2 linked regions of the Danio rerio genome follow. The protein of the gene in region 1 purifies or fractionates together with the protein of each later gene. This does not show direct contact. Links are inferred from orthologs where the notes say so. Each region holds a gene or a part of one and is shown in the gene's direction. Other genes may lie near its edges.

Region 1 (10,552 bases):
ATATACAAGAATAAAAATGTTACCGAAGTCTGCGGTCTTGCTCCCGGTCGGGGTTTTGATTGCTGGTATAGTTGACGTACATCTTCTTTGCGTTTGAGGTTCCAATCCGAGACAAAATCTATCAAGACCTCCTAAACTTCTAAAATGTAACCTACACACGCCGAGGGAGGCCGCCATTGTTGATTTGAGACGGGCGCAAGCGCAGAAGTTGGCTCTACGGTGGCTGCGATTGGACATACCGTGTCGAACGCCAAAACTGAATTTCAGGTTTTTACAATGGCTATGACACTTTTTTCAATACATTTAACAAGTTTCCTAAACTTTTAACACGGTTAGCACAACATCCGTCTTAGTGGGCTATACAATTAACACATTTTGCTTTGACACAAAATGCATCCAGTTAACACAAATTTAAAATGCTTGAACTTATTTTACACACAAGCACAACCAAGAGCAAAACAATGTCATTTTACAGTTAAATTTACAAATGCTTTAACACAGTATGTCAGAACAGATAACACCATGTTCTAAACAAAACTTATATAGGCTAAAGCCAAAGTAAACAGTATATCACATACATATCACAGCAGATTCCCATATAGGAAGCACACTCATATGTTGAGGTTTTTCAAATCACATGATCATACTGTATGTTCTAAAAGTGGACTCATGAGGTTTTTGAAAGAAACAGTAAGCACATTACAGAACTTCGTCACCAATACGTCGAGGTAAGGTTATGCAATACAGTGATTACTTTACTATACACAGTGTGTTTTGCAGTAAACTACTCAATAAACCTGGCGTTCAATACATAATTATACAGTACAGTAAAGCATTACACTGTGTCTAATTACTTCTAGAGAGTCATGGAGTTGGAGGTCAATCAAGTTCCACATGCAATTATCTATGTTGACGAGGCTGGCTTTAACTTGGCGAGAAGGCATCGCCATAGGAGAAACATAATAGGCCAAAGGGCCACCGTTACCATACCGGGCCAGAGAAGAAGTCGGGAAAATGCAGAAGACTAGTCAGAATAGAAAGTTACTTTACTTTTTTTATTATTATTGTGGTGTTTTTTTCTGTTTGTACATCTTGCAGTAATGTCCTTTTGCAAATAAAGTCTGTACTGCATCAATTCTGTGTCTGTATTATTTTTTTACATACAGTAAACTGTAAATTTTTTAAAGCTACTCTGGGATGGTCGTTCATTTTTAGTTATGATTTTCTGCAGTATAACAAAATGCATGCATTTACTGTACTAAACTCAACAACACAAAAATGTAGAGAGGCTTCAAGTAAAGGGCAGACCTGACACATCAAACATTGCAGTTTCTGTAATGTCAGCTGATGATAGTGTTTTTATTATCAATGTGTTATGAATGACTAAATGTTTCTATCGGAAGAGAACGTGTTAGTGTTTTGAATCATTATTTTATTTTGAAACATGTTTACAGTGTTTTGTTAGACATGGTGTGGTGTGTTAGTTTATTATTGTATTTTAAAAAGTAGTTTAGAGGTTTAGTTTACAATGTGTGATTTTGAGCATGAAATTTACTGTTTTGCCAATTGTGTGTTTTAGGTGTGTTGCTGTGTTAAGAGTTTAGCAAACTTATTAAATGTATTGAAAAAAACTGTCATAGCCATCGTAAAAAAAAAAAAAAAAAAAAAACTGTAAAGATGTTAAAGAATGGATGACAAACCATTTTCTTCTCTTAAACTCAGACAAAACAGAATTATTACTTACTGGGCCTAAATCCTGTACACAGCAGATCTCACAACTCGACGTACAATTGGAGGGATACAAAGTTAGCATTAGCTCTACTATAAAAGATCTGGGTGTCATATTAGACAGCAATTTAACTTTTGAAAATCATATATCCCATGTCACAAAAACTGCTTTCTTTCATCTAAGATATCTCGCTAAGTTATGAAGTATGCTATCCATCTCAGATGCAGAAAAGCTAGACAATGCTTTTTATGACTTTAAGGCTGGATTACTGTAATGCTTTGTTTGCTGGCTGCCCATCATCCTCTATTAATAAACTTCAGCTAGTACAAAATGCAGCTGCCAGAGTTCTTACCAGGTATAGAAAATATGATCATATCACCCCAACTGTATCCTCCTTACACTGGCTACCTGTTAAGTTTCGTATTGAATTTAAAATATTGCTTCTTACCTATAAAGCTTTAAATAATCTAGCTCCTGTCTATCTAATCAACCTTCTGTCTCGCTACAATCCAACCCACTCTTTAAGATCTTTAAACTCAGGGCTTCTGGTAATACCTAGAATAGCAAAGTCGAGTAAAGGGGGTCGAGCCTTCTCATTTATGGCTCCTAAACTCTGGAATATCCTTCCTGATAAGGTACGAGGCTCAGGCACACTCTCGCAGTTCAAAACTAGATTCAAGACCTATCTGTTTAGTAAAGCACACACAATGCATCACTTAGCGGTATGGTGAAGTTTTTTCCTCGCCTCTGTTGCCACTAGCTTGCATGGTTCGGGATATGTAGGGCTGCGCATCAATGGATTTACTCTTCATTGTTTGAACTCTCAATAGTGATTATTAAACCACACTGGACTTAGCTAAACTAAACTGAATTTAAACTTTAAAATCTGAACTACACTGTTTCAATCTACTATAATCTTCTATGTGAAGCTGCTTTGACAAAATCTATATTGTAAAAGCGCTATACAAATAAAAATGAATTGAAAATTGATTTGAACTTAACTAATATACTAGGTAAAGCAGCCGCTTATGGCCCCAGCGAATTAGGGGCCCCAACCTATGTCAGGATGCATATTAATCATATCTCTTTTAATAAATTCTCTTTTATATGCTGTAAAATCTGCTTATAACCTTTAAGATTTTAACATTATTACTTTTTTTCCAAACCAGGGGACCTCATGAACAATGGAATATTCCTTTCTTACTGCACATGCAAATTTTAAAAACACAAATATGGCTAATTAACTGTACATACTTTGTTCTAATAAATTACTTGTTATTTATTTGCAAATTTATTGTATTTCATTTAACATTAAGAAGATAAAGAATGCAGTGCAATATAAATATTTTTAACATGCAGATTTTATTTACAAAAAAATAAATAAATAAATAAAACAATATCTATAAAGAGAAAAAAAAGCTTAGAGCTTCATTACTAGGGCCCCCCAAATCACTAAAGCCAGCTACTGCTTATTAACCAAATGTATTATTATGGCAGCTTTGGCATTCCATAGCCTACTACACTAAGGCGCCGTTTACTTTCGGGGAAAAACTGAACTGTCAATCTGCAGCCTGGATATCCCCCAATTTGAAAACAGCGTTTAGATATTTTGATACACTTAAGACAATCTTGTCACTATTCGTTATCTGGATTCCCTGACACTTTCAACAAGTTTAGAAGTTTTGAAATCTCTTAATGAGCGAAAACAACAAAAGGACACATTTTTTGCTGGGTCAGCGGACTTCACTCATTTCGTATATAGACCAAAACTAGTTAGCTTCTGTTTACTACAAGATGGTTTCAACAAGGCAACTTTTCCTTTGGCGCAAATTAATCATAAAGATGAAAGCGAATGACATCCTCCTTCTACGGAACATTCTGATAGGGGACTGTGGCAAAATCCAAGCAGCAGATACGTGATCTCGATGAGAAGACGAGAAAACACCTCTCAGAGAAAAGAGAAAACGAAACCGCAGTGACGTAAGCGCACAGCGGAGGCGCGCAGCTCGCTGATTCCTCTTATCAGCGAGCACACGTCTGAAAAAGCTTCAGAGGGAACTATGGACAATCACTGAGTATGCGCCCTGCTGTGAACACACTGACTGAAAGGTAGGCAAACTGCTGGTGTTTTATAGATATCATTTATTTTGTTTAGTTATTTTTATGCTTCATTAGCCTATACTATTTCGAACAACGTTCAGAGTAGGCTAAATACTGTGGATTATTTAATAGGGCTTTTGGCATATGCTTGTCAGCACCCTTTCTAGTTACTCTTTTTGAGCACCGGTTCTTTTCATCAGTAATGAACAGCCTTTATTATTAAAAATTCATTATTTAACATAAACCAAAAATGGATATTCAGCGATGGTTGCCAAATCTGCATGTTAAAAACTCATCCAACTGCTATTCAAAACTATCCCCAAAGTGTCCGAGTCACACTCTTGGGTGTTAGGATGTTCTTCATTGTGTAAGATTCAAATGCACAGCAATAGGGTAAAAGTACCCCAGTTTCTAAAGGAAACAAGAAGTAAATTTGGCAGCAGTGTATAGGGTTGTATTTCTGCAATGCTTTGGAAAGTTCTGTTTTTTGTGTGTATATCAGTCACCCGATCACACCATATCAATTTAGAAACAGCACATGTAATAGGTCAAAAATGATAAAACATAAAAAAGTGATTGCATTTATTATGATTCAGCCATTCTGATAAATCATCTTGGGCTAGTCATTTTTACTGCTAGCATGTCCCTCATAATTGGTCATTTTTGACCTCAAAAATGCTGTTATATTTTGTTCTTGTTTGTTTGTTCTTGAGGAGAAAAAAGAGAGTTAATACAATGAAAAAGTTCCATTTGTCATTCATTTTAAAGATGTTTTAAGCCACCTCTCACTTGCATGCAAAATAGAGCAGGCAAGCTGTTCAGGAAACATACCTGACCACACAGCAAACATACATATGGGTGCAAAAACAACATGGATGAATGCATTCATTTCAATGTGTTGATGTTTCTAATGATCAAACATTTTGTTTTATTATTCAATCAAGGATGGAGTATGACAATGGAAATTCTTGTATAGAACTGCTTCTTGCACACATAAAAATTGAGGACTTCATTCAAGAGGCAGAACATTTCTACAGTGTTGGTGAGGTGGTGGAATCTGGTATTTCGTTTGAGGAAGGTTTCTCGCAAGAAGAGATGGACGAGAATGAGGAAACGGCACATGACCTAATTAAACATGTACAAAAGACTGGAAAGGTCCGTTATGGGACAACATCTGACCTCCTGGACTTTGTGAATATGGTCTCAAACACACCATCCTCCTCTCTTTTAGATGTTGGTAGAGAAATGGGTGTTCTGGTGAACAAGGTAAGCTTCATTGGTTCTAAAACTTACATCAATATTTGAAGGGTTTCTGAGGCCTTTCCACCAGCTTCTTAAATTAAAGCATAAAGACTTAAATTTGTATGATCATGAGAGTAAATATTGCATGCATTGAAAAACATCAAATATATAGTCAATCCTTCACAGTCTTTATTTTCAATACAAATATCTATACATCATACTGAATTATACTGAGAAAAAAATGAGCTTATTCTATAAACAAGATCCCATTTTTATCAAACTTACTTCTAATCACTGGCACTGAATAATATGTAATTTTGCATTTCAAGTAAATCTTTATTTGACATTTGTACAGGAAAACAAGACAAAGATAGGAAGAGCATTATTTTTTTGTAGTGCGATTTGAAGAGTAAAAGTTATTTACATATTCTAGTTTTGTGACCTGCTTTGGGAGTTACATAATCCCGTGTAAAGGAGTGTTTATACTTGTTTAGCAAGATAGCCTTTGGTGTCATAAACACCCTGCTTTGTCCCTACAGACAGACATGATCATTAAAGAGGGGCATTATCGCATCGACTTGGACGTCCTTCTCTTTCCGTGGAAACTGACCTACAAGCCTCAGGGCCCTGGACACGTTCCCAAAGGCTCATTTGGGAAGGTCCATCTGGCTCAGGACACCAAAACTCGGAAGCGAATGGCATGCAAATTAGTAAGTAAGGGAATGCAAAGTATGTTTGTTTCCGGAATCTTTACAGGGTTTTACTTTTTTTTTGCTTTGGCAAAGGTAGATGTTTTCACTCAACTAGGAGGTTTTTATGGACATAGCTTTCCTACTGGGAATCCGCATTCTATTATCAGTAAGGTTCAAAATATTTTTTTTAAATACTTTGAAAGTACTCTAATAAGAATTAAGCATAGAGTTCATTCATCATCATCAGCAGTTGTCACATGAAGATAAATCAAGGAAAAGACACATGATACTGAATGATGTTGTGATGAACTTATGATTCAGCATGTGATGACACATGGCTTTATTAACTACAGCCTAGTGAAAAATCGTTCTGAAAAGCGAAACAGGTTTTACAGAAACTGTAGCAGCAGTGAAAAAGTGTTTAAAAATGAGGAACAGCACTTTTGGGAAACAACACAATTTCCCTAAAATGTTCAAAGGGTCAGTATGCAGCACGCAGTGTTTTAACAGAAACTGAGAATGGCACTAACGCACACAGGAAGTGGACAGAAACGCCCCCTGTGGAAACATGCAGCCTACAAAGGCGTCTTAAATTAGTGGCAGAGTGCAGATGAAAATTTGATCTTGTGGTCAAGTTTAACAGTTGCAGTCCTCTTTTAGACGTGTGAATTAAACAGCTTGCCATGTAAGAACTGGATGGATAAACATTATTTAGTCTACAAGGAATTGTCTGCTTTGGTGGAACATGTGATTTGGTGGAACATATGACAGACAGGTTGTCCCTCTCTTGTGCCAAGAAGCATGTGATGAAAGGAAATATTTTATTGCAAAAAGGAAGTTGTTTTGATGAAATGATATGAGGGCACATACATTTAAACAAATAAATCCTTTATAATACCTGCAATCTTTCAGAATAGTCAAAATATGCAGAATAAGAATTTTACCTTTCAATATTTTAGGTGACTTTAGCAAAGTATTTTTCAAACTTTGAACATTAACCTTGTGTTAATGACAAAAATTGTGATTTTGTGAAATTGATGTCATCATGCACTGATGCATTATGTCAAGGGTGTCCAAACACGGTCCTGGAGAGCTGGTGTCCTGCAGATTTTAGCTCCAACTTGCCTCAACACACCTGCACGAATGTTTCTAGAAAGCCTAATAAGAGCTTGATTAGCTAGCCTAGGTGTGTCTGATTGGGGTTGGAAGTTAACTTTGCACAACACCAGCCCTTTAGGACCGAGTTTGGGCATCTCTGTTTTATGTGTTCAGTCCATAGGAATGCACAAGGACTTGATTGTCAAAGTAAAAAGGTGGGCAACGAGATTGTATTTGTCCATGCCTGCAGTATTTATAAAAACACTTTGACAACTAGTGGTCTGGCATGCATATTACATTATATTTATTCATTAGTAGGATTATTTTGTTTCTTGTGGAATTGTTATGGTTTGACACATTTTTTATGGCAAAGCAAAAACATTTTTTTATTACATCAATATCATGTAAATGTTCCCTTGATGTAACTTTAAAAGGGTTAAATAATTAGTTGTTGTAATAATTAGGAGTATAAATAAGAAATATCACGCAAGCAAAAATGCTGCTCAGATTCATTCAAAAGTATTGATTCATTCCGGAAAGCCACTATGAATCCGTTTCTCATAAATGCATAAATAATAAATTAACTTCAGGTCTATTTAGGACAAAAAAAAAGACATTCATTCAACAAATTCTTTACACATAATTTGAAATCACTTGGAAATTACAATTACAGAAAATGTGCACTATCCATTAACAGATGTTGGTAGGTTTTGGATCCACCAGTAATCATTTGGTCAAGCAGGCATGAGCACAGTAAAAAAACAGCCAAAACAGACATTTATATAATTATCCTGATGATATATCAGTTCTATTAATCTTTACATAGCGAGTCTGCAATTTGCAGTTTTATTATGTTTTGCTTGTATATTTGTTTTTGACTGCAAGACTATAGGGAAATGTGGCAAAACCTCACAATATGACAATAACTATATGCATTAACTATAATTAATTAAAGCTTGATTGGTGTGAAAGTGCAATCATTGTACTTGCTTAATTTTAGGAATTGTGTGAATCATACATAGGCTGGAAATATACAGCAGTTTTGGTTTACTTTCATATATGAATGCTTAAATAGCATGTATTTTTATGTAGAAAAAAATTATAAGCTTGCTCATTTTTTAGTGTACTTTCATAAAATATGAATCTTAGAAATTAAGTGTACTTTCTCTCCAGATTCCTGTGGAGCATTTCAAGCCTGCAGATGTTGAAATCCAAGCCCGGTTCCGGCACGAGAACATAGCAGAGCTATATGGGGCCTTGCTGTGGGAGCAGACGGTGCATTTGTTCATGGAAGCTGGCGAAGGAGGCTCGGTGTTAGAGAAGCTGGAGAGCTGTGGTCCAATGAGAGAGTTCGAGATCATTTGGGTCTCTCAGCAGGTTCTGCGAGGCTTGGAGTACTTGCACTCTCACAACATTATCCACCACGACATCAAACGTAAGAGCTCTGGCTTGCATCATTAAGGGCTTTTTTCTGAAATATCACTGCAGTTTCCTACCAAGTACATTGTTTATTACTCTCACACCACAGCTGCTCTGAAGTGGAATGCTTCAAAACAAATTTCAAAGCGGGGTCAAAGCAGTTCAGTACTTTTTTTCTTGCAACCACCGGTACTTGTTATTTCCCCTTTGAATGCAACAAAAGGTGCACTGTATGTGAATCTGATGTTGGCTGTGGTCAAGGAAGGTATTCTGCTTATTTGACAGAACTAAAAAGTAACTGACAAGAGAATTGACCACAGGCTACAGAAGTAGTTTTAGTTCATGACCTTCAAAGAGGAGGAACACAACATAATTTAATGCAGCAGGGGTGTAGTTGACAACATTCTGCTAGGATTTAGTCATACACAGGGGCCAATCGGTGTACAGCTTATGACTTCTGGCATCTGGAATTTCCAGTCAGGAGAGCAAGTGATTACTCAAATCAAATGTATTACTTTCAGGGGCTTATTCAACAGGCCATTTCTATTTCAACTTCAACAACAGTTAGACTGAGAGAGTAAAATGACAAGAGAGAGAATTTCAGTGAAAATGACTGACCAATCAGAGTATGCTCTAGGCTGTAGCCTGCTTTTGTGGTTTTGAGGACTGGCTTCTTGACATTTGGGTTGGAGAGGAAACAGTTTTTTTTTTGTTGGGTGAAGTATAGGGGGAGAGCAAGAAAAGGGGGTTTTGCTGATTTGTTTTGCTTCTGAAAAACTAAAGCTTAGTTCTTGTATTCACTGTTATATACTGCTGGTAACTCTTTAACTCCTCAAAGCCCGATGAAACACAAAAGTTTACAAAACGTATAATTGATATTAGGAATTGGATGACTAGTAAATTTCTTTAGAAATATATTTATTAAAGCACAGGTTTTACTCAGACAAATAAAAAAGAAAAACCTCTCTAACCCTTAAAAGATGTTGAATTAAGTCTTCGTCATTGGTCAAGAACTTGGATGTGATATTTGATAGCAATTTGTCATCTGTAGGCCACATCAGATGACAAATTGCTATCAAATATCACACTCAAATTATTAACTGGTGACAAAGAGTTAATTAAAACATAATATTTAAATTATACTGCATAAAATAAAATAAAAAGTGTGTTGCCAGGTGCCCTGCAGACCTAATAAGCAAACTACAGCTGATTCAAAATGCAGCATCCTCAGTGCTTTCTAGAACTGAAAAGTATGCAGATATTTGTTGCAAATTCTATTGACATTAAATACAATACACAACTCCTTCACTCAGCTTTGAAGTGTTAAAATCAGGATGCAGGTTTAGAATTTCTAAAGCCTGAAAAAATGCTTTTAAAAAGTAATTTATCCCAATTGCAGTTGTAGTCTTAAATCGGATCACTGTTTGAAGTTGTCAAGAATGATCTTCAGTAATGTGTATGGGGCTAATTTGGCTTTTATGTTTTTAACTGTTGATAAGTGTTTACTATTGTGTGATTGCTGTATGGTTGTATGTATGCAGTTGTTGTCTTAAATCAAGTGTTAAAGACAAATTTCCTTTCTGTGCCAAGCAGGATGGACAATAAAGTTTAAACTAAACTACTGTAAACTAAACTAAACAAAACATGTTTGTCATGGAGACGATTTTCTTTAAGGTCTCAAACCTTTCAAATCCTCAAAAAATGGCAATTAGCCCTGACCAACTTTCTCCCTATTAAATATTGTATTAGTTTTCAAATGTTGATAATTAATTACAAAACCCTGTATGGTTTAGCTCTGCATGAGTTGAGTGAGTGCCTTGCAATACAGCTGTTCATGTTTGAAAAATGTGACTGGCTGAAAATTAACTGTATCAAAGCAACTACAGGCAATGCAAAGATCTATGCAACTCAAGTCAAAAAGTATGCTTCATTTTCACACATGAATTCACAACCATTTGACCTAAACTACAATAAAGTCTTAAAATTAGGTGGGAGAGATAATGTATCAAATGTAAATTACCATGCTCTCCAGATAAGTTTGGTGCTGTGACTAAATTTCTTCAAATCACAAGTAACAAAGAAGCTCTGCACAAAAAAATCACAGAAGAAAAAAAGAGAAATAATGGATGCCTCAGGGTCAGAGTTGGACATTTTTTTCATTATCAGTACAAGTCTTGAACAAAAATGAATGAAATTATTGATGGAAAACAACAATGTTATGATGAATCACACTAGAATCAAAGCTAAAGATGGAAACTACTTAGTAAAAATT
Region 2 (10,554 bases), on another chromosome or scaffold:
CTGTTGCTATAATATTTATATATTGCTGCTCTTATATTCAACAGTCGGAAAGCTCCTCAATATCTGAATCCTCAGACCAGAGTAATACCTCAGAGCCTTCGGAAGAGGTATGCTTTTGGTCAAATAAAATGAATTTGTACTTGAACTAGAATGACGAACTGAACTGGATTTTTTTTTTTTTTCAATCATATTTCAATAAGAATCCTTTTTATTTGGCATTCCATGAATATGTTTAACTATACATGCAAATGCATATATACTGAAAAAAAAATATTATTGAAAATAAGTTTATAAAACTTTTTTTTCTTTTTTTTCTTTTTTATTCTATTAATAATGTCAAGGGAAATAAATTGTAGTTTTTTCTATTCCAGAAATGTTATGTAATACATGTAATAAATGAAATAAATGTAATTTATTTTTATTTTTGTAATTTTTATTATTTTTTGTGAAGATTGTTAGCAAAAGTAACATGGAAAAGCAATCATTTTAGATATAAATATTAATTTATTTACATAAAAAGTATATTTATACTTTAAATAAATATATTTACCATTTTATTTATTTATTTCTTTACAGAAGTCAGAGGAAAATGTTTCCGACAGCAATGTAAGTGCAAAGACCTATGTCAAAATATTTGATTACAATATTTAGGCATACATTTCTGTTAAAGATATATGCTCAATTCACTTTTTTTTTCTGTTTCCCCAACAGAGCTCTGAATCACTTGAATCTGAATCAGATGAACCGGTATACTCAAAATTTCTGTTCATATCTTAAAATCAAATGTACAAAATACAAATACAACTATTTAACTAACAAATTTGTATTTATTCATTGTTTGTTTGTTTTCTAGATATCTAAAGAGAGCGAAAGCCATTCTGTGGAAAGTCTGGTACGAAAAAAAGCTCTATTATAATATGTGACCCTGGAAGACTATTTATTTTGAGTATTAAGTAATGATCGATCAAGACTTTTTTTGTTAATTTCTTACTGTAAATATATCAAAGCTCAATTTTTTAATAAGCAATGCCCATTGCTAAGACTTTAAAAGTGATATTTTTTATATTTTTAAATCTTCATTCCAGATTTTCAAATAGTTATCAAATGTTGTCATTACATCAATGAACATCTTATTTTTTCAGCTTCCATATGATATAGTTGAAGTCAAAATTATAAGCCCTACTGTGCATTTTTAAAATACAAACAAAGAATTTCAACTCATGTTTAACAGAGCAAGGATATTATTTTCACAGTATTTTCTACAATATTTTTATCTTCTAGAGAAAGTCTTATTTAGGCTAGAATAAAAAGCAGTTTTACATTTTTTAAAACGATTTTACGGTCAATATTAGTAGCCCCCTTATGCTATATATATTTTCGTTTGTCTAACAAAGCATGATCATAAAATGACTCGCCTAATTACCATAGTTAAGCCTTTAAATTGCACTTTAAGCAAATATCTTGAAAAATATTTGGCAAAATATTATGTACAGTCATCATGGCTAAGATAAAAGAAATCAGTTATTAGAAATGTGTTGAAATAAATATTTCCGTAAAATGAAATTGGATTAAAAATATATATACAGTGGGCTAATAATTCAGGAGGGCTAATAATTCTAACTTCAACTTCTGACTAAATCCCAATTTTAAATCCAGAGCCACAAAAAAAAAAAAAAAAAAGTCATAGCACAAAAACTAATTCCCCTATATTTAAACTAACTTCTATCATTTGTGTTTATCCAGATTGGAAAAAGCGAGACCGCACTGACAGCCGACAACACTCAAAGCAGTAAAGAGAACATCCGTAGGGTAAGAAACATCACATCTCACCCATAATATAGAACATACGCCTTTACACAAGAATAATGGCCTTCATAATTCATTTACAGGGCTGGATCTACACCCTCAAATGGGTCCAACCAAACAACAACATTGTGCAACCAACCGGCCAGCCACATGAAAATGACATCCAGTCCACTAGTGACGCATCCCAAATAAGTGACAGCAGCGAATCAAGCGAAAGCCAGGAAAAGGTTGTCGTGAACAAGATGCAAGTGGATAACAGTGATGACACCAGTGAAAGCGCTGAACACAATGGTGCTGTTGCTACTGAATACAGCAACAGTAACAGCAGCAGCAGCAGTAGCAGCAGTGAAAGCACCGAGTCTAAAGACAGCGGCACGGATAGTGAAAGTCGCTCCACTGAGTGTGTGCCTGGCGATGACAGTCAAGATTGTGAGAGCGAGGAAAACCTTCCTCAGGATATCGGTGATGATGGAGCAACCGACCCTTTCAATGGCTTCTTAATGCCTGATGTCGCTGAGCCCTAGCGGCAGTTTAAGACATCATTTATTATGACTCGATGCTCTGATAGCTGCAAGTTGGAAATCCCAGGAGCGTAGTAAAATGGGAATGTTCTCTTAAGGAAAATGTTTATAGGAGGGTATGTAAGGAAATTTCTATAATATTAATATAAAATGGTGAATAAGCATTATTAATTATTTTAAGGTAACTTGGTCTAAATCAGTGGTTCACAGAATGTTTTTTTTTTTTTACTTTTAAATGATAATTTTAATTATGTTCTCAATCTTTAAACTTTTAATTACCAAACAGTCTTAGGATTTTAAGTGCAATGGTTTTGGCATAGAAATATAATACATTTTTTTATTGTAACTTTTAAATTATATAGAAGAAAAAATATATTAAATATAATATTAAATTAATTGCAAATTTAAATTGTGTATAATAAAATAAATAAATACATTTTTAAAGAAAAGGAAGCAAATTATTAGTATACTTTACATAAAAACTCATCATCTAAATTACGCAAACAAATTATAAAAAATAAATAAGCTTTTCTTGCATTGCACAAAATTATCAATTCTGTTTTTAAAACTTCTGTATTTAGAACTTAAAAATTGTCTAAAAGAACTGGGAACCACTGATTTACATCAACTTAGTATTAATTAATATATATATATATATATATATATATATATATATATATATATATATATATATATATATATATATATATATATATATATATATATATATATATATAGTTGAAGTTAGAATTATTAGCCCCCCACCCTGAATTTTTTGTTTTATTTCGGCTAGAATAAAAGCAGTTTTTAATTTTTAAAAACCATTTTAGGTCAAAATGTTTAGCCCCTTTAAGCTATTTTTTCCCAATAGTCAACAGAACAAACCATCATTATACAATAACTTGCCTAATTACCCTAACCTGCCTAATTAACCTAATCTAATTAAGCCTTTAAATGTCACTTTAAGCTGTAAAGAAGTGTCTTGAAAAATATCTAGTTAAAAATTATGTACTGTCATCATGGCAAAGATTTAAAAAAATCAGTTATTAAAAATTAGTAATTAAACTGTTATGTTTAGAAATGTGTGGAAAAAAATAATTTCCGTTAACAAAAAAACGGGGCTAATAATTCAGGGGGGCTAATAATTCTGACTTCAACTGTGTGTGTGTGTGTGTATGTGTGTGTGTGTATATATATATATATATATATATATATATATATATATATATATATATATATATTATTATATTATTTTTTTTATTATTGAATATCTTTGGAGCTGAAGTTGTTTGATGTATTTTTTATTATTATTTATATATTTTGTAGTCATTTATTTATATGTATTAACCATTTTCAAATAAAGTCATTAAAAATAAGCCATTGGTTGCCTTTTGTTTTTCCCAGCCGTTCTTAAATGCCAAGAAGTTGCAAACGCAAGCACTTCTACATTCCATCCTCAAATGAAAGGGTTGCCCTAATGTGATCCAAGAGTAATTACCAACTTCATTGCCTATAATTTCACAGATTTACTTCATACCTCTGCAGAAGCATGCCTAAACAATAAAAAATGTGTATACACAGCTGAAATGGCTGTTGTGTGAAAAAGCACCTTCAGCTGTGTTCTTATTGTGACAATTATATTTATATACATGTGCGTGATTGACTTATATTTATGAGTAATATATCACGTCTGTCAAATGCGTGTCAATGCTGTTTTGATACCACAAGATGGTGGCAAACTTTAAAGAACAGTTTTGGACTTTCCCTAGGCAGAACATCATGAACTCACACAAACATTACATGCTCAACGGGACTTTCTGCCGTTTCATGTGTGCTGCTTTTGGCAGAGGGATAAAGATTCTTCGCACTAAGAATGAGGGTTTAGACATTGTAAGTTTGTTAATTACTGTGTAATTAAAATGACTGTTTTATGGTTCAATCTTCAGATCACAAACTAAGCACCGTTGGCTTTCATTGTCTAGACAATTGACAAGATGTGATCCAAGATAATGGCAGGCATTATCCATTATGAAAAGAGGAATGGTATGAGATGGAATCTTTTAAGAAAGGGGAGTTTTAGGCAGTGTTATGTTATTTTCATCCAAATATTCAAAACATTTTTAAAATAATAATTAAAAATACTATTTGGTAAGATTCACATTAATCTAAATATTTTTAGATTATATTAGATTAGATTATACTAAACATTTTTAGAAATATTTTTATTAAAAATACAAAATATTTTTTATTAAAAGTTAATTTGATTTAAATAATTACACAGGCAAAAATGATGAGTAGAAATGATATATATTTAATGTATTTATTTATTATTTATTAGTCTTGAACAAGAATTATCTTTAACATTTTAGGAGGGGGTCCTATGGTGGTGGTGTCTGAAAGCCTCTGGTAAACAGACTAACAGAAAGGTAAACAGTTTCGGTTCCCAATGGAAACAAAACAATGGAGCTAAATAGGAAACAACATGTTACAGCTTTCTTTAGCTAAAGAATTCCGTTTTGTAAAAGGGTTAATCTTATTTTTGATATTGGACTACGTTATACTTTAAAGTGTGGGATATTTTTATAATAAGCTATGGTGTGAATAGACTCCTGCTTTCGATTTTGAACTTTACCTACGTTTCCATATGTAAAGATTTGTCACCTGTCCAAGTTCAACTGACTACTCCCTTCACGGATGCTACTTGAGAATACTGTGCGTGTTAAACTGCTCGTTGTACCGTGTTCGGGAGCGACGTGACAAACTTAATCGTTATAACCAAGGAAGCTAAAAGCAAACGTTTAACCACCACGCGCGTCACTGACAGTATAAAGTAGCATGCTGGTCGCGCGCAATCCTCGTCCACGCGCACCAGGCGGCGTCAAACTGAACTGTAAACTTAATCCGACACGAAGGAGCGAGTCGACTGTCTCTTAAACGTGTAAAATCACTATTAAACCGCACACGACTCGACAGTTAACTCGTTTGAAGGCAAAACAGCGCCTGTAACCCCAACTATTCTCGACGTTTTATGTGCAGTACAAAAAATATACCCAGTTTGAGATGGGGGGAAGTCCCCGTGAGGAAATCCCCTGTTCATAATTTCGAAATTGAGTGAGGCTCTCGCAGACTGAAACTGCTCTGAAACATTTTGGTCTAACATAAGTTACAGCAGACGCCTGTGAGCCCTATGACACTCAGACCTGTACAATATATGGGAAATTTGTACTATATGTGCTCGTTTTAACGGATTGCTCAGCATGGATGAGATGAAGAGGGAGAACGAGGCGCTGAGGGCGAAGTTGCGCAGCTGCTCTACTCTCAACACAATTTACCACGAAACACAGCAAGAAATTGCTCGTTTAAATCAGTTGGTGACCTCCAAAGACGGGATTATTGCCGATTTGAGGGCAAGACTGGGGAAGTATGAGAAAACCGTGGTCATTGAGGGAGAGGAACCTTATATTGTAGGGCCATCGAAGTCACTCATCGAAAGTTTGTGTAAGGAAATTTGCAAATTAAAGCAAAAACTGAAGGATTTAGAGAAAGACACTGCCCAGAAATTGGAAACCAGAGACAAAGTAAGTTAAACACAATTCTGAATTAATAATATGAAATAATTAATAACATTTTCTCTACTAATTAGAGTAAATTTGTTGTTTTTCTTGTCAGTATACTTTTCCAATGACTGTAAAAGAACTGTAAAGTATCCTCTCTATAAAATACTCCAATTCCTAACTCAAGAAATTGTAATGAAATTAATGTTATATCACAAAAACAAAACATGTAAACCAGCTTACAATGTGTTGCTGGTCTTAGCTGGTTTATGGTGGTCTTCAAGTCAGCTAACATTAAGTGCCTTTGAAAAACTGACCAGAAAACTTAAGTTTAAGCTTTGTTTTTCTTGCTTGTTTGTACTGTTAGTCCGGCTTTTTATGTACAACTTTGTTCATGAATACAGAATATGCTTTAGTTTTGATGAAACAAGTGCATTTCGTGTTCACCTTCTCATTTGTGAATCTCCCGACTGCTTGTTTAAGGAGATCCAGAGATTGCAGGAAAAGTTGAAGGAGAGGGATCAAGAGTTGCTGACCATCAGGGAAAGACCAGAGCAGGAGAAAGAGAGGGAGATCCAGCAACTGCGCACCACATTGGCCGAAAGAGATCGGACACAGGCCACCAGGACTGTACTTTGCAACTCTCTTGCTGAAGAAGCCGATCAGTTAAGGGCCCAGTTGGGGGCCACTGTGCAGGTGTGTCAGGAGCTTTTGGGACGGCTGGAAAACGAGAAAAACAAAACAGCCATGACGGATCAGAGAACTCAAGTTCATGAGGTGCGTTGTGGAAACTGTCAGTCTGCAACATTTAAGGCACCTTTAAAACAGCTGCCTAATGATTATATTTGACCTTATATTTTATCAGACATCAGATTCCCCCGAAGTTCCCCAGCTAAATGTCATCATTAGCAAGTTAGAAGAGGAGAACGACCAGCTCAAGAAGAGAGTGGCATATGTAAGGATCACATGATGGAACTGTTGTTTGATCATCACCCTCTGACATTTGTTTTACCTGTGTCATATGCTGAAAATGTCATACTGTAACTGTTACGGAAAGAATCAACAGTGTAAAAAAATTCTTGGAAAATGTCATGTAATTTTTTCACATCACAACTTGTTTTGTTCCATTTCAGGTGGAAAGTTTAAACTCAAAATGGCAGAAGTATGACTCGAGTAGAGAAGAGTACGTGAGGGGTTTGTGTCAGAAGTTGAAAGAGTCAAATGGACTGGCTTCCGCAGATCCGACTCTAACCCAAGCCCCGACTGCGGGACACGTGGCTTTGTTCCAGCAGGAAATTGTGAGACTCAACGGCCTCCTGCAGGACAAGATGATGGAGTGTGAGAGATTCAGTAGAGAGAGGGATGACAATGCGAGAAGAGACCAAGAGCAGATACAGATGCTCGAGCAGCAGGTCTGTATCCGTTCAGTGTGTACAATCCTATTAAATAGGAAGTCGTTGTATTTTTGTCATAACAAAGGTGAGAAGTAGTTTTGTTGTTTGGCTTGCTGCCCATAACACAAATGGCTTACTTGTACACTCACAGGTTCTGGCCTATGTTGAAGACTTTAAATCGGAAAGGGCAGACCGAGAGAGGGCTCAGGGTAAAATCATGGACCTTCAAGATGAAGTTGGGCGACTTCAGCTGCAAATACGTTCACAGGCAAGTCTAATTATTAATTATTCATCAAGGTATTTAAAAATAATTTTAAAATATGCATTGTATCATTTAAAGTCCCAATAAAATCATTTGTAGCATTCTGATTTAGCGTTACAAAATAAATAAATGGACATAAGCATTTATAAGTTGTATTTGAACAAACACGACAGGGTTTTTTCTGGCACAAAATAAGCCGAAGATGGAAGATGAAATGTTTGCTACTTGAAACAAGCACATTTTGCATTCTTTTTAGTAACCCACTCAAGTTAAACATGTTCATATTTAAAAAGGCAGATATTATATGCAACTAAATAAATGACCAATGCTTGAGCATCACTTGGGGTCTGTTGGTTGCCGTGACTGCATGCCTGATTGGTCAAAAGCTGGAGGTGGTGCAAAAAATTATGGAGGTGGCCACCTCACAATTCTCTTTGCAGGAAAAACCCTGCATGCCATTTTACACAAACAATAATGATCAATTAAGTGTTTACCAAAGACAATAAAATGTCAGCGTAATCCCAAATAATTTTATTAAAAAAATAAAAATAAATCAATCAAATTAAAACTATTTAATTTGTCATTTTAACATATTGTCTGAATCTTTGCTGCTATCCCTTAAACCACTAGGTTTCGCCCATTTGACAAGTTTTCAATTAGTGAATTTAGTAAGAATTTAAATTATCTTCTTATTTTTTTAAAAGAACACACTTCTGCTCACCAAACCTGCATTTATTTGTTCAAAAGTACAGCAAAATCAGTCAAAACATGACTTTCATTAATAATTTTAATATTTAATCACAGTTTAATGATGATATTCATAATTAATTGATGAAGAGAACGTCAAACAAAATCAATCATTTTACCTAAATTCAAAAGCTTTTGACATCATACACATTATACTACTTAAAAGCAGTGACAGTCAGTATTTTTTTATTTGTTACCTTTACTTAGCAAGGATACTTTATATTAAAATTTAAAAGTATGTTTCTTTATTTAACCGGATAAAAACCCATTGAGATTAAAATCTTAGGTCCACAACACGACTTATGAATAAAAAATAATAATAACAACAACAATAATAGTAATAATAATAAATAGAAAGTTAAGATAATATAAAAATTACAGTTTAGTTGTTCAGCTATACCACATTACAATATGTTAAAAACACATACACTGAGAAATGGACTGTTGTTTGTCAAAAAGGATAGAACGAAAACATTTGATTGGAATGAGCTCAGATATTAAAAGTATTTAATAGTTATGATTATTAAAAATAATGATAAAGGCATTTATAATGTCACGGTAGATTTCTATTTCAGATAAATGCTTCTAAAGACAAGATTAAAATATTCTGCTCAGCAGTTTTTAACATGCTAAAAATTCAGCTTTGAAATCAGTAAAAAAAAAAGAAAGTGTACAATATATTTAAAGAGAAAACTGCTTTTTTAAATAGTAAAAATAATTCACAGTTTTATAGTTTTGCTGCATTTTGGATCAAATAAATGCAGGCTTTGTGAGCAGAAAAGACTTTAAAAAAACAAACAAAAAAAAACATTTAAAATCATTCCGTCTTAAAACTTTTGACTGGTAGTGTACAGTTTGTTGATAAAACCCATTATTTGACCTTTTGAAAATGGTAAAACACTGAAGTCAACACCAGAATTTTACTTGACATTTCATATGCTTTCACACACACGCACGCAAGCTGCGTTCTCTTACCGTTTTACAAAACTTAACTCAGAATATTGAATTAAACATCCTTCCAAGTCATTCTGCTCTAAATCCTTTGACTGGCAGTGTACACAATGTTAATAGAACCTATTATTTGACTTTTAAAAGATAACACAATGAAGTAAACACCAGCATTGTACTTGACATTTCATATGCTTTCACACACGCACACTGCGTTCTCTGTCCTGTTTACAAAACTTAACTCAAAATGTTCAATTAAACATCCTTCTAACAGTCACTCTCTCACACAGAATGTCCAAGAAGCCTCAACCTCACGCCATAAAAAAATCATGGCCCTAAAAAAAGCTAGCCACCGACAAACGGAAACGGCAGAACCACTAAGAAACAGTCCCCCAGAAACAAGCTCAAAGAGGACTATCAGTAACACTGCGCCACAAGGAGCCGCCGAGCTGCAATGCCCTCGGTGTTTCATCAGGTTCGACGACGAGCACACGACCGAATACCTTAAACACTGGGACGAGTGTGCCAAGCTGTGAGTCTCTCACCTCACTGACTTTACACAGAAAGCACTGAGGACACAATCACTACAAGCTCACATGGGACTTAATGGGAGATGCGACAAGACAGGGACACGTTTTATGGGATGGAGTCGTAGGAAGAGCTTTTTCTAGTGAGTTTTTGGCTTTTCGAGGTCGTTTGCGGCCTAGGACTCAAGATATGAGTTGGTTGTGTCCAATCTAAAGGCTTACTCACTTCGCTGTCGTTGAATGCAGATGGTTTGGTTATGAAAAGTTATTCAGTCTTGGGCATCTGCGGTTGTCACATAAGGGTTTTGCCAGTTCTTTGGTGTCATGGTTTACAGCATGGTACGTTTAGAGTTCCGAATCAAACTATGCTAAAGGCCAAATTGCAGATCTGTGTGTGTATACCTCACCTATTTGTAGTCTCTATCAGCTGGTTTGCACTTTTTTTTTTGTACTATTTTAATTATTGTCTACACAATTTATTATATTTAATTCATTAGTTCCTTTATTATTAGATTTTGAATATAGTTCATGTTGTTTTGTCATGGTGCTATTTGTACAGTATTTTGTAATATTTCCATTTGTAGTTATGCTGTTATATATCTTTAAATCAGATCATTTAAATTATACCAAAGGAAACAGCATCACAATGCACACTATTAATAATCTTTAGATTTGTTTTGCGATTATTATTCATTTAAATAACATCCAACTTTTTTATTTTAAATGTTATATGGCTTCATCATATAACGTGTTATTACTTTCTCAGACATTAAGGCACCTTTTTGACTGTGAGGT

The links.
Region 2: the proteins of map3k8 (region 1) and tnip2 purify together in Homo sapiens (affinity purification with mass spectrometry; 3 studies listed by BioGRID and IntAct, with this or other methods). This does not show direct contact. The link is inferred for Danio rerio from reciprocal best matches to the Homo sapiens genes MAP3K8 and TNIP2.

The regions. Positions count from the first base shown.
Region 1 is NC_133187.1:25,358,895-25,369,446, reverse strand, and holds the start of map3k8 (mitogen-activated protein kinase kinase kinase 8), read left to right. Parts: upstream 1-3,779; 5' UTR 3,780-3,806; coding exon 3,807-3,838; intron 3,839-4,773; coding exon 4,774-5,095; intron 5,096-5,610; coding exon 5,611-5,781; intron 5,782-8,034; coding exon 8,035-8,296; intron 8,297-10,552. Other genes in the region: mtpap (poly(A) RNA polymerase, mitochondrial), read right to left, coding at 24-177.
Region 2 is NC_133176.1:40,468,930-40,479,483, reverse strand, and holds the start of tnip2 (TNFAIP3-interacting protein 2), read left to right. Parts: upstream 1-5,184; 5' UTR 5,185-5,584; coding exon 5,585-5,905; intron 5,906-6,364; coding exon 6,365-6,658; intron 6,659-6,746; coding exon 6,747-6,836; intron 6,837-7,014; coding exon 7,015-7,293; intron 7,294-7,426; coding exon 7,427-7,543; intron 7,544-9,522; coding exon 9,523-9,768; 3' UTR 9,769-10,554. UniProt on the Homo sapiens protein: Inhibits NF-kappa-B activation by blocking the interaction of RIPK1 with its downstream effector NEMO/IKBKG.